2 linked regions of the Styela clava genome follow. The protein of the gene in region 2 purifies or fractionates together with the protein of the main gene of each other region. This does not show direct contact. Links are inferred from orthologs where the notes say so. Each region holds a gene or a part of one and is shown on either strand. Other genes may lie near its edges. The genes, in order: nucleoporin Nup37-like and nuclear pore complex protein Nup133-like.

Region 1 (7,713 bases), about 2.2 Mb from region 2:
ACAGTATCTATATTTATTTGAATTCAGAAAATGTCAGGAATCATTAATATTGAAATTGTGTGATATTCGAAATACAAAGAAGGTTCTTGATTTAATAAATGAGATCCGTTTACACAGAGATTTAAGACTTTTGAATATGATTTTAAATAAGATCAAATAACTTAATATTATTTATAGCAATTGATAACAAAATTAAATACCACACGCCAAAATAAATCAATGGTCTAGATGGTCTAGCACAGTATAACGCTTGAGTAAACTTATTGTTTATTAGATAAGAAGTTATAACAAAATATCATTGCTCAAAGATATAATAACCTTATTTCCAACTTGTTAGTGTAAAATCTTGATTCAATTTGTAAATCGTTTAAAAGTTGTTGTTTGAATTCTGGAAGAGATTTGAAATTGAAGTCTTGTTTCATTACAACAAATTTAGCATTTTTTTGAGCTTCACAATTTTCTGCAGACAATAAATTTGCTCCTCTCCTCTTAAGAATGTCTTCTTTAAATTTCTTCTGGAACTTATTGAGTGAAGAAAAAGGTACTAGTATCGTGTTGACATCTACTTCCTTTTTAAATGCGGACCTGTTATGGCGGAAAATTCATTAAAAATGTAAGGAGAGCTTCCAGAATAAATAAATGAATTGCAAAAGGATAAAAATATACTTGGGGTTATTTAGTCCACAATCTCCATCATTCAAAGTAATAGCAAATGAACATGCCAGTTTAAGTAGTTCTGTTTTTTTACGAAACATTTGAAAACGCATTACAAGACATTCAATATCTCATACCTGTCTAATTCAACCATTCCTCTCACACCAGATGGTGGTGTGAATATATTCTGGTCACTTTGATTGAATGTTTCACCATTATTCATGATTAAAGAAAAGATTCGGAGACGCTTTTTCAAATAATATTTGAGAGAATCCAATCTTAATACTCTAAATGACATCTGGAACTAGAGATAGAAAACAAAGTATCGAAAAGTAATCAAGTGATGTGCTGCAATGAATTAATTCAACCCTAATTAAAAATAATGATGGATTTCTAGATAATGAGAAATTATCTGTATTGAAAATCAAGATTTTTGAATTTTTTTTTTTAAATTTAAATCATGATTTTGTTGAAAATAAAGTCAATTCAAAATTGTTGAAAATAATTGCATGACAAAAACCAGAAAATATATTACGCTGGTACATACATTTGTTTGCAATCTCACAAGCATAAGAAACATACTAATTGGCAGTGTCTAAGATATATAAATTTTGTGGGCCTTAAACAATATTCAAAACTGTGTACAACTTTTCGTGTCATAGAAATGAATAGCTTTATTTCCAGCTATTGCACATATAGGTAAAGTGCTGTGCCATGATGCACACATGCTTGTTTCATGAACTTTGTGAAGAATGGGTTGACGATGACCTAGATGGTAAATTTTTACAGTGTTTTGAGGTTGACCAAGTGTAAGAAAAACATCTTCGTGGTGTTTAGACCAGAGTAATTTTCTGCAACCTCCAGAATTAGCTTGCTGTGAATCAAGTGGATATGAGGATTTTGTAATATCCCAAAGAAACCATTCCATTTCTGCACTAGCTCCAACTTTACTGTGATTCAACCAGCACCAGTCTGCAGAAGTTAAGCTGTGTTTTTTGCAGTCAATAGCGAGTATTGCCTGTTTCAAATGTACATTGTAAAATCTTATTCGACCTCCTAGTTCCGCCGCCATCAATTTGCCTGATTGGTCAGGGTGCCAACATACGCTCACACCGGGATACTGAAGTGGGAAAGACACAATAACATCACCACTATCGACATCCCAAACTTTGCAAGAGTAATCGTCACTCACAGAAGCTAGCTCCTGACCTTCTATTGGCTCAAATGAGATATGATTTACACAATCAGTATGGCCTTCAAGTGAATTTTCCACAGCTTCTTCCTTCAGATCTGCTGTATATACATTGATCACTCCAGTTTTAGTTCCAGTAGCAATCACAATTAGGTTTGGCAAATGTTTTATATTTGAAACAGGGGACCAGGCAAGACAATTCAGATCGCATACTCTCAGCTTATGAAGTATAACATTATTATGAACAAGATTTTTGTATATTTGCTTTGCATAGCCACCATTAGCTTCTTTCTCTACAGAAAATTCACAGCTTTCAATTGTGAGACCATCTTTACTAGCAATTGCTATAAGGTTAGATGCACGTTCGAAAGGACAAAACTCCAAAGCATTAATGAATGGTGGTGCTTCTACAGCTTGACTATGTACAGTGTGAGTGCTCATCATATTTCCACCACTTTAATCCAAACAATTATTAATTTTTTTTTTTATGGTTCCAACAAAGTGAAATTTTCAATAATTAAATAATAAATAAGATAATAAAATTGAATCCATGTTCATCGAGTTGATTCCACAGTTTGATTTTAATTAGTTATTTTTTGATTGAAAAAAAAAGAGTTATGAAAAGTCATAAGTTATTGCATATCATGTCGAGTTCGTTTGTGTAAGAACATTGTTTTCTAAATTTTTCCATGTTTCTCCTTGCTAAAAGAGAGTTTCTTATCTTCACTATAACATTATTGACATTTCAGCATTTGGTACAATATTTTGAAAAATTACAGCATTGCGCTCCAACCATATTTCAGTATTTTATACCGTGCAGTACACAATAACAATACAATAGCATTACGTTCGAAAATTGATAAATGAGAATTAAAGTGATGATTTAAGTCTAATAAATTATTTATTATTAAAATTTGTTTGCGAAAAATTCCCAGTCAATTCCTAGCACTGTCAGACTGTAGCACTAATGCTCAGGTATAATTCCAGTCTTACTACTTACTGAATAAAGCGAGAAACAGCCCAGATGAGAGGAAAACAGCGCAGAAGAAAGGGAACATTTTTCTTTCATTATTTATTAGCGTCCTTGAAATTTTAAACAATTTGATGGGAACCCTAACACTAATTAGTATTGGTTTTACATGCGATACGTCTGCTATTAATGGGAATCAGCGGGAAACAAACGCCATTCACCTTCAGTAAGTAGGCTAGCGCTGCGCTACACAGAAACAACAGTAACGAGAACATGTTCGTGTATTACGCTGGAAGGCTGAACGCAAAAGAGCGACTTATGGCTGACTTGTCGGGACGGCGGGACAAGACGCTAAAAAGCGGTACTGTTCCGCCCAAAGTGACTATAAACCAAGTGAGGACATGCATTGGTAACGTTATAAGCGCTCGTGTGACGTCACACCAGCCATTTTGTGTCCAGAGTTCTATCGCTGTATGATCCTAACCAGGGAGATGAAACTAGTCTGGAAAGCCACGCCCACAATAATAAAACAAACAAAGTTATGCGCGTTAGGAGTTTCTGCAGCTTCACGCTCCATTGCGGTCACTTGATTTGCTCGGGGATTATTGAAGAGGGTGGTATGTGCACAAAATATCTCGCTGTCGCCTATATTCTTAGCTCAGCAGCCTATAGTATTTCATTAAGTTGGTTCAATACTTTAATTAAATGCCGGTTGTCCATCTTAAGCTCGGTCTCTTTAGTTTATTTCAAGATAGATTAGATTCGGCTTCAACTAGTATTTCCCCCTCAAGACAACGCAGGTACGGTATGGTAACTTGGCGTTCTATGAACCACCCCAGTACTGCAATATTCTACCCGATTATTGTAACCTAGGGCCTAGGCTACTTTATTTCTTATGTTCTGTGAGTCCGGTACTGGGTTACGATCTTTATAGTTACACACCCTCCATTCTAGAAGATATAATTCTACTATTATTACTTACGACTAACATACCAGCACTATAGTCTGAGAGTATTCACAGATTTACCAAACACCAATTTCTTTTTCCAAAGTCAAACCGTTTTATTTTTTCTTTACGTTTTTGTATTACTTTTTTAGAATTGCATAATTTGTATTATAGTGCTATAGGCTATTTATTCACAATCACTCATCAACAAGAGTAATTGATGTTGCATTCCACAATGCGATAGTGTCAGTGGATCTTGCACCCTGTTTTTGCCATCATCCAAGCGGGTTTGTTCCGGTGAAAAATTTATATGGGCAGCAGTGTTCCCTCTAAGGTGAGCGCGTGTGCACTGCAAGTTTATGCACATGATTTGATTGCGTAATTTTCAAAGTCCTTGACGTTATCCGCTCAGACCATCTCGCTAGCATTTTCTGGGAAAGTGTTGGAGAAGTGGGATTGGGGCTTATTACAGATGGACTTAGTGCAAACCGTAAAATGTTCCATGAGTTAAATAATTTGAGGTTAACTTTCCCATATACATGTATCAATGGTTCTGATCATTTCATTTACTCAAAACAGTAAGCAATAATGTGTTTGCGAGTCACGCTGGTGGAATTCGCCTATTGAAAAAAGATGACCATTTTCGTGCAGTACCATCTTTTTCATCCAAAGAGTTCCACTCCTGCAAATTGACGGAATCCCACTTGTGCTTACAAAGCTACCCAAAAGTGTGTGTCAAATATGCAGCCCAGGTGCTATCTAAGACTGCTGCAAGATTGATGCAGCAGAGAGGTGGGCCAGAACTCTTGGTCAGCATGGTTTGATATTATGAATACTTGGCCAAATTTTGGATATAAAAAAGGGTGCTCCCGTAATATGTGTACCAAGTTGGGGTTATCAGGTTGTGCGCTATCTTGGTACACATACTACGGGAGCGCCTAAAAAATGCTCCGACCATTCCATAGCATTGATGAGTGACTGATTTAGCTTGAAAATAATTTTCATTCCAGGAATACGCAACTGGAAATCATCTGTCGCAGAGACAAAAGAGTTCTAGATATTCCGTATTTTTATTATGCAACTTACATTGCCTATTGCCATGAAAATATACTATATTGCAATGAAAATTTTGTTATGAAAAATAGATTGTTTGTTTAATTACTGCTAAAGTAATAAAACTGGAATGACATCTAAACGCACTACCTTGCAAAATAAAGTGAAAAGAGATCATGCTCTTCATCTACATTTATTTTTTAGTAGTTTTCGTAGGGATAAATTCTGTTTGATGGCACCTTATTTTTCTAAGATGTCCAGCATGCTAGTATCGTTTTGGGCGATACCAAATGATTCTATATTAAAATTTTCAAAAACTGTGGCTGTAACATCTTCATGAGCATAGTTTAATCTAAATTCAATTTCGAGCAGCTTGGACACTGGGCAATGGCACGGTTAAGCGTCCATATTCTGCATTACTGCAATCATAGAGTCAGTTATCAAACAGTCCGGTTCGGGAGAAAATAATGACTGAATTCTTTTGCAGTCTTCGGGGTCTTAGCATCGTTTTTGCTTTCCTAGTAGAATGAACCCAGCAATGTATTGGATTATATGGACCTCATCGTCATTCAATATGATAGAACTTGAATTCAGTAAATCTGGAAAACATAGGGAACAGGTGTGTAATAGTAGGATATCGCAATATTGATTACCATGAATGTCAATCAAACACGGTCAATACTTGAAATTAAATTCGATCAAGCGCCTGTTAAGCTAGTGCGCACAATGTATGAATCAGGTAGTGCTTTATTGCCTACATTCAAAACCAATATTGCTTAGAAAACAGTTGCGTTTTATATCCTTATGTATGAATAAAAACCCAATTAAGCAATTTTTGCCAGTTAGTCATATTGTCCGTAAATTATGGTATCTAAACATACTCAAATCCAGACAAATATTAAGCACCACACCTTTCGTTTTATCCATTTCTTTGGCTGTGAATCTATCAAATAATTACCCGACAGACTGGAGGGTATAGTAAACCTGGAATACTCTGTTCCAATGTGAGGAATAACGCTAACTGCATCACAGCTGAAAGATAACATTTGATCACTCAGGACTTTCCTTCAGCAACAATTGCAAGTATTTGACCACATTTGGTAAAATAGGGACAGTGGCTGCAATGATCTTCCCCACACTAATATCTCTGCCTAAAAATAAAAAAAATTCAAAATTATTTTGACAGATTCATCCCATGGTGTTTAAAAAAATCTGCACTTCATGTTTATCTTGAGTTGTGGAAGTTGTATTAGTAATCATGGAATTTATGTAGGGGTCTATAATTATGTAAATCTTACCTTGTTTGTGAATATGTTGAGCCAAAGATGCCACGCTGGAAAATAATAACTTTTGACACGTCGAGCACCTTGAAATAAAACATAGGTTATTTTTTATAAATCTCAGAATAGGTTGTTTATTAGCAAAAATATTGTCATGAAAATATCACATTTAGGTATGTAGAATAAAATCCAGAAAATATATTGATGGTAAGATAATTGAATGCATGATCTGTTGGGGTCTTGCATTAATCTCTCCTAACACTTTTTGCCCTCTGTCTGTCTGTAACTCTCTTTTCAATAGCTGTCTTACTTTTGCTCACTCAAGGCAGCAAGGTAAACTTTTCTTCCATTGACTCATCAAGATCTATGAATACATGTCAGTTTATGATCCTCTAACATGAATGAATCTAGTACGGTACAGGCAGACAGGTAATGTCTGAATATATCATCAAATTCATAATCTGATTCAGGGATTTAAACTCGGCAGCTCTGTCTGTCATATCTCAGCACATGATAACTGCTCCCTGAATAGTCACCCGCTAATGGAAACATACTGATAGTATATATTTAACGTATAGAAATGGTAGGCTTACCTTTATTAGCCATAATAGCCACTGATTATATAATACCTTGAGTCCGATGCGACCAACAGATATGGTGAAACTGCAGCAAAACGCTGGGAACTCGAGTGGGCGTTAACGAATCAAGTTGCCGCAATGGAGCGTATCGCGTCAGACACTCCTCATTGGTCAAGGCTTTAGTTGCGCATCATGGTATGTTAGTCGTTGATCCTAACTAAGTGATTTAAACCTGCGATCGTTAAACAGCTGATTAAAAAAAAACGATGCTCAATAATTCGGAACAAACTTTCGCAATGGCAAAACGAATGAACATTCTTCTGAAAAATTAATTACCCGCAGATGTTTAAAGTCATCCAACTAAATCAACAACTCAATAGAACCAAAATATTAAATAAAATGATACACATTTTAGTATTAAATTATTATAAAATTCCCGATGTAAGTATCGCTACTTGCACAGAATCTATTTTAACAAAGTGACAGAACCACAATACAAATTATACTGCAGAATCTTGCACTATTTTTGCGGTACATGTCATGATATTAAAATATGCGTATCGCAAATTTTCAACAAGGTGTACATTGCCAAAATAATATTAAAAAAATATACTACATGCATGGAATGAAGGATAACGGCGTATATCAAGTTTACAAGAACATCTAATAATCTGGAGTGTATAAAATATCAAATTATCTATTTTATTTGAGCTCTTGCCGCAGGTCCACGAGCATACCGTTTTTCAATAATTTTATTTGTCTCCTCTTTTGCGTGAATATTTAACCTTAAACTGAGAAAACGTTTCAAAATTTTAAAAGCGATGTTGTGGCAAGATGGTAAATTATATTTCAAGCAACCTCATCTGTCGGAAAAGTAACAGGCGAAAATATATTATAAAAAGCATTAGTATTTGCGCGAAATATAGTTTATACTTCGCGCAAAAATACGATTGCTTTTTTGGATGGGTGGCATAAATATTGGGTAAAACTATCAATTTTCAAATATTTATCGTGTGTGTAAGACCTTAAAGGGGTTGGTA
Region 2 (7,647 bases):
GAAGCAAGATATTTAAAAAATGTTCTACTAGAGACCTAAATTAGCCGCTCGCTCGAAGAAACCAGGTTACTAGGATTTGCAATATTCAGATCTATGTTAAGCTTCACGACATGGATTTGTCTACAATACATATATATTATTGTTCTACAAGGTTCTACATTGCCACTAGTTATAAAAGTATCTATATTCAAATCATTGGTCAGCTCCACATAGCAAATTCAGAATATCATTAAACCTGACACTATCATAACCCATTTTCTATAATACAGAATACCGTAATGTATGAGTTTTGATAAATAGTAGTAAAGTATATGAACCAAAATTACTCACCCGTACTGAAGCTAATCTAATGCATTCTTCATCGGAAGAATTAGCACCAATGCCATCTAAATTTCCTTCAAGAGTAGACGATACATTTTGAATTATATTTGGCCAGAATCTGACTCCCCCTGCGGGAGTAACCACAAGCAAACTGACAATTCCTTCATCTGGTGAATCGGTGGCTTTCCCAACATAAATTAAACTGGACTTATGCTCGCCATCAGAAGAACTCAGAGGTGGCAATGCAAATTCTTTGCAGAGAGCATTCTGTAAAAACAGAATTTACTCTGAATTTCAACACCAACAGAACATACAAGATAGCGATCAGAGACCGCCGACTTATCGATCTAGCGGCGTGTATTCTTCGCTCTGACTCAATAGCGACAACGAGTGTCCCATCACTAATCAATTATTAACTCGCTAATTATACGACATAATTCATCCAAAATCAATAGGCTTTTGGTGAGATATGATGAATGCATATGCAAAATTTGGAGCAGATTCAACCTCGTTTATCGTGAGATATCGCGTAACTTCGATCAATATCGATGAGATCGTTGTATAATACCACTTTCAATAATTACATATCGAGGGTTTCAAGACAGAAGGGCGAACATTGAAATTCAGAAAAAATTATACTCTACAAAATTACAAACAAATAGATTATTTTCAAGCCGGTGTCTAATCAAAAGTTTGAAGTAATACTTGCCAAAAATATAAATTTGAAACTTGAACACAAAAAATTGTGTTTTAGATTTAGAAAAGTCAAAAAATATTAGTTATCAACTCTAGTTCAAAAAAACAAAGACCAAATCCCGTGAAGAATGTCTACATTAAACACAACTGAATAATATTTCAGTATATAACATAAACTGTGCATAAAATAAAACATGAAATACCTTTGAAACTCCTTGTTTAAATCTCCATACAAAAAGTTTTCTGCCACAAACCAACCAAGCCCATCCATTGTCATTTATTTCAACTGTTATTCGCTCTGATTCTGAAAAAATAATTCAATATTTTTAACACTATTTTTATCATATTTCATGAGTGTGATGTGGCAATTTAGAAATGGCTCTTCCATATTTCTTACACAATTCTCACACAATATCATTTCACATTACAATTTTAGAACAATGTAGAAAATCAGTAAACAACTTGTTTGCAAATATTTAAATAACATGATATAATCATCTTGTATATATACAAGCCAATGCATTCTATTCATTGAATGTATGGAACACCTCGAATTCAAAAAAATTTTCCTCAACCCTTGCCACAAAACAAGTAATACTTGGTCAATAATACTTGTTACTTATCGATCCCGATCGGTAAGTATGTTGATAGGTATTTTTCTGTCTGTTTAAGTGTTAGACACATTTTCCTATGCTATGTGATATCTCACGAAAGCGAGGTTGAATCTGCATACATCAAATCTCGGACCAGACGCCTATTGATTTTGGATGAATTATGTCGTATAATTAGCGAGTTATTAATTAATTAGTGATGGAACATGCGATGTCGCTATCGAGTCAGAGCGAAGGATACACGCCGCTAAATCGATAAGTCGGCGTTTCCGATCGCTATCTCGATTTCAATATAAATAGTAATTCATTCTGTAATTCAACATTATGTTAAAGCGGGTGTAAAAAAAAATAAAACGATCGGCCTAACTAGTAATTTAAACTAGTAATTTTTTAATAATACACATTTTCTACAAAAAAAATGATTATATACTTTGTCAGTCTCCACTTTAATTGTAAATAAAAGTAAATGTATTTCATTCATCAATAACCTGAATAGTTACTAGAAAAAAGTTAAAACTAAAAGACTTCTAGTTACAAGTTTAAACATCTTACTATCTGCAAGGGTGATGGCTTCATTGACAAGAACAGGCAAAGATGATCCAGCAGTTTCAACTGTATAATTTGTCGTATTGTAAACAGTAGAAACAGAAGGTGATCCAAGTATCGAACTCTCAGCTGGAGATGACCTGAAATTTGAAGTTTCACCAAGTTCAGAATTTGTAAATTGTTTATAGTTGTTACATTGCAATGATATTACTATGCATCTGTACTTTGTAAGATACATTGTTTAGAACTGGAAGATGTCCATTATTTATTAGTTCATTATTTTAGAACTGATGTGAAATACAGATTATTTTTATTTTCATTATAAACAACATACATGAAAATTATACACAAAAGTTTGAAAATAATGAACACACCAAAGATTGGGAACATTTTGAAAACTGGCAAAACATTTCAAAAGGTTTAACACGTGAAAACACAGAAATACATGTGCCAGTTTACCCTGTTACCCTTAAGTATTACATAACATTAAAACTTACTGAAAAATAATGGCTCATATTACAGTATTAGATACAAAAAATTAAATTAAACAACAAAGTTTCAAATACTCTATTGCTGGTTGAGAGATGACCAATTTTTTAATGAGCAAAAATATTAAAATATATGGCCAAGTCCACCGAATTAATTATAAATTGCCACCAATTCAGCAATTGCAGAATTGGATGAATGAAACATTATAAATGTAAAATTAAAAGGATTATATATAGCCTATATATATGTGTGTGAAGTACTTCCTACCTTGGATATAAACCAGACCTCCTGACAAGAGATGATTTCGATCCAGTCAGTTGAGAACGCCTTGGGGTCAATGTGAATGGAGCGGCTGAGCGTCTTCGCGAGGACCCAGCTGAACCAGGTGTATGCGTACGGCTAGGGGTAAACATTGTAGTCCACAGGGATATTCAAGTATTGAGATAGCTGATGCTAAAGTCCTGTAGTCGGAGGTAGCTGGCGAAACTCGAATACAGGAATAAGATACCGGTACAGTATCTCGGCATCACAACAATAGCTCAGACCTTTGAATTCAATCCCGCGCGGCGAGCCAGACAGTTGTGACGGCATATCCAAAATAGTTTGCGCATTAGCGCCGGATATATAACCGGCAAAGTTGAGCCGGCACATCTTTTTGCTTGAAGAACGGCTATCTACTTAGACTACAAATGTATTACTTTTTAAATCAATGTTTTTCATAAAATCCGCGCCTGCTTAAAAATCTGAATTAGGGGTCTCCGAGGTAACTAATGAGAAAATTCATTTTCTCATACGCTAACACCAAGAATGAGAATGAGAAAGAGCATTCTGACTATAAAAATTTCATACAGAACCCTAAATATTCTCAAATTTTGTATAAATCTATATGTATTTGTGTGTGAAATCCTATGGACCTTTCCCCGAGCATCGACTTCCTTGTTTATTTCGTGACATTGGCCAATCATGCTCCCTTTTCGCATCCGATCAGACACTTTTCCCACAGATTTTTAGGCGTGGTCGCGAACATTACCTTGTTTTCGCGTTTTTGAACTCTATTCGTTAGTTTTCAGTTGTGTTTCGGAAATTTAAATATAAATCAGATAATTCAATGATCACTCTGTCTTCTAAGGAGTTTTAACTTGATTGCAGTATTAAAAAATTAATGTATAAATAGCTGTGACATACTAGGCTAAAATTTTTTATCGGTACTTTTAAAAAACAGTTGAGTATAGGGAAATCGGGGGTTTAAGGTTGGGGAGTGGTCCATATTAATATTTTAAACAACTTGCAAGGCGACTCAAAATCAAACTCACAACCGCATAATGTCACCTATTAGGCGGTAACATTTGGTCTAAATAGCTCGTCGAAAAGTCTGTATATCGCACTTGTTCATTCATCTAAAATGATTATTCATGCACACACATAGGCTACCACAGAGACGTGATTAAATTTTAAAAAGATAATATATTAATTTTTAGGCGGAAGAAAATATCACAAGGACCCAGCTGGCCACCACAGAGACGTGATTAAATTTTAAAAAGATAATATATTAATTTTTAGGCGGAAGAAAATATCACAAGAAAAATTCTTGCCTCACCTAATTACAAATTTTGCGACGATTGCCAAACTGGATACCGTTACCTGATTTGTTTCATTCTGTGAAAAATAGCCCATTAATTAAGTCCCCGGTTCTACAATAACAAGTTTATACAATACACATGCCATTTCGTGGAACTAACGACTAACTAACGTGGAACAGATCCAAGAGAACATGCTGGTAACGTACTTACACTCGGCGTTTGAGCATGGTCATTATGGTTAGAACGCATGGTTACTTTCACCGATCAGTTGTTCTTTACATGGTTGCGTATTTCGAGTTTATTTTTTCTTATAGAATTGTTTCTTTGCAATATTTGCTGCTTGAATTCTGCAACGCACGATGACATTCTGAGTCTTTTGCGCCATGCATCATTAACTGCTATGAGTCAATGTTTTTTTGATTTTGTTAGGTTTACTTTATCATATGTGGTTATTGCTTTACATTGATTCTTGCACAATGAAAATAAATATCTAAACCTGGTCAGTTACGAACTTGCTCACGAATTATCTAGCCACTGGGAATCCGTGACTTCAAAAATCTTTCCCTCGGGTTTTTATGGTTCACTTTGTTCCTGTATATCTGATCTTACAAATCCAATAGCAAGCATGCATTACTAATTTTAATATCCATTCCCAATGAAAGGATTTTGTTACCGACCGATGCAAGCCTTTTCAATAAAAATATCATTTTTGATGTACATTGATTTAATGTTTTTCGCTTTGTGAAAACCAGCATGTTTCTTCCATAATTTTGACAAGAACTTTGGATACATTGGTCCAAGCCTATTCCTTTTTCAAGGTATTACGAAATGTTTACGCACAAGCAACCTCTTGTGCACTCGAGTCAGATAGCTCAATACCCCTGCAGTGTTTGGCAAACTGTGAGTCGCAGAGCATTTTCTAGTGGGCCTCCAATAAATTCAATCCAATCAATATTTACCGCTCGTTCTATCAGTAGATTGTATACACTTCTAATTCAACTCATTTCTAATTGGGAAAGTCAACATTGGGCAATAACTTCAGACTGTACACATATCTATCGAGCAAAAATATATAAAGTAGGCTACTATATATTTAAGTACATTTTATTGGGAAAAGCAATGCATTCAGAGGTATAAATAGCTATGATAGATATACTGTGAACAGACTATTCAGAAATACAGAATATATTCATCAGGTTCATGATCATGTTTTCATAATTATATCAATCAGTGTTTACAAAAGATATTCAATCTTGACAATGAACTGTGACTGTGTCTTTAGTAATCAAATCTTCATCATCAGTTGGACTTGGTGGGAAGTATCCATGAGGATATTTATCAATATCTAAAAGTGAAACAAAATGATCAATTAAATGGAAATATAATCAAGACTACCCCTTTTTTACTCACTCCACACTGAGCTGATAATGAATTGCTGTACTCAATATATTCTAAAAATAGTTTATATATTTGAAACTGCCGAACAGGCGACTGTAATTGCCTGCCACTTTTTTATCCTTTTCTATAACATCATTATAAAGTCATAGTCAATTAATCATGAGTTGAAATGAAAACTATACAACTTGAGGTGCCTAAAGTTTAGGTCTTGGATTATATCAACAAGTATATCGACGGCAGATATGAAATTGACACTGTCACGCTTGAGTATATCATAACCTGTGACAAACAATAACAAAATAGAAAATTTAATTATCGGAAGCAAAGATAGATTTTATAGAAAATGTGTATGTCATGAAGCGATATGTTATTTTTATGTACCACTTCTATTTGAACTAAATAACAAAAATAGTGTATGGACACATACAAAGAACATTTTCAAATCATCAAACAACTCAACCCTGAAAACTTTCACTTAAAGTCAACAATTTCCATAGCTTACCATCTGAGTGAAGTGGGCATCCATCTATTTCTAATTTGAAGCATATAGTTTCAGCATTGCCTTCAATTGCAATTCCATGATATACAATCGATATATTAATGAACTGAGTCATTATTGGAATTTCAAGTGGGTGAAAAAGCCTCAACTGCAAAATATAATTCATTTATTTAAAATGCTTAATAAAAGAGAAAATATTAACTTATATGTACCAATTGTGTTTTCATAAAAGTCATTTGGTAGAGTATTCTAGAAAATGCAAGTGATTGTATTTCAAATACCTACTCTGGTATTAAGTAGCTGAAAGTAAGTGATATGTAAATCTACAAGCAATATATATAACATACTTGGCTAATTTCAAAAGATATTCCAAATAAGTTTTCTTCATCAATCCCATAAACGATATTAGCTACTGAAAAAGAGCTATTTATATCTGTAGAATTGGTGAATCCATTCATTGTACCGAGTAGACCGATGAGATAGACTTTTGCAAGAACTGTCAGGTCAATGTTGATATGCTTCAAAAAAACAAAATGATATTGAGTTTATATTTTTACTCGTAACATTATACACACATGTACTTGCACGTGGATACTTAGTGCTAGGGTCTTGAATAGATTGTTAGCGAACAATCAAATAGTTGATATCACAATGTCCAATCTTATTATTATCAGCCTAATTTGGTTGTGAGTAATTAATTTGGATACCCTGGCCATTGAATGGTACAGCAAGCCTTAATCAATATCAATTGCATAAGCCATCATGCTATCATCGAAAGTTCTGTTCTATTTATGCACATCACTGCAAACCCATACAAGACATTTAGTAGTAGAATTCAAATTGTTTTTTCAACTCTACAAGATATCCTGAACTGTAACTGAACGAATTTAACAAAAACTAGAAAAGGTAATAAATTTTATAACAAAAATATATTATAAAAAATGCTTGAAAAAGTTATAATTAGAAAATTGACAAAATAAAATAATACTCCACAAGTGGTGATTCTGAAATGAAAGATGTGAGTTTTGAGTTGTGCAACCTTCAGAATTTAAGATTTTTTTACCTGACTGCAAATGAACTACCGTACTATCTTAAAACATTGACTCTAATATCACATTTTCAAGATACCTGTAAAAAGCTGTCCTTCATGATATTTTATCTATAACATACTCAAATGTATGAACTCAGGAGAAGGTGACTTTATATGAATGATTGGATGGAGTAAAAATGTTAGTGATCGTAAATAACCATAATACAATGAACATGGAAATAAATTAGGTATATCTCACCATGATTCCCCCAGATTGTGATAATCTGAAGCAATAATCTGTATTTTCTTCATTATGAATGGTATTTTGATGATCCTTTGATATATTATGCCTCAAAGAAACGTAGAATGATCCAATTGTTTTTATGATAGGTTGAATACAGTTGTCTAAATAGAATTATGTGAACTATCATATTCAGTTTAGTACTTATTGATCAAAAATAGTTTCTAAATCTAACC

What was found.
Region 1: the proteins of nuclear pore complex protein Nup133-like (region 2) and nucleoporin Nup37-like purify together in Homo sapiens (affinity purification with mass spectrometry; 4 studies listed by BioGRID and IntAct, with this or other methods). This does not show direct contact. The link is inferred for Styela clava from reciprocal best matches to the Homo sapiens genes NUP133 and NUP37.

Annotation. Positions count from the first base shown.
Region 1 is NC_135253.1:5,428,968-5,436,680, forward strand, and holds nucleoporin Nup37-like, read right to left. Parts: upstream 3,164-7,713; 5' UTR 2,291-3,163; coding exon 1,286-2,290; 3' UTR 959-1,285; downstream 1-958. Other genes in the region: tRNA (guanine(37)-N(1))-methyltransferase-like, read right to left, coding at 319-585, 792-952. UniProt on the Homo sapiens protein: Component of the Nup107-160 subcomplex of the nuclear pore complex (NPC). The Nup107-160 subcomplex is required for the assembly of a functional NPC.
Region 2 is NC_135253.1:7,608,998-7,616,644, reverse strand, and holds the start of nuclear pore complex protein Nup133-like, read right to left. Parts: upstream 3,274-7,647; 5' UTR 3,077-3,273; coding exon 2,931-3,076; intron 2,315-2,930; coding exon 2,181-2,314; intron 1,322-2,180; coding exon 1,221-1,321; intron 589-1,220; coding exon 331-588; intron 1-330. Other genes in the region: uncharacterized protein LOC144421998, read right to left, coding at 5,491-5,588, 6,144-6,288, 6,488-6,658, 7,430-7,575, 7,647-7,647. UniProt on the Homo sapiens protein: Involved in poly(A)+ RNA transport. Involved in nephrogenesis.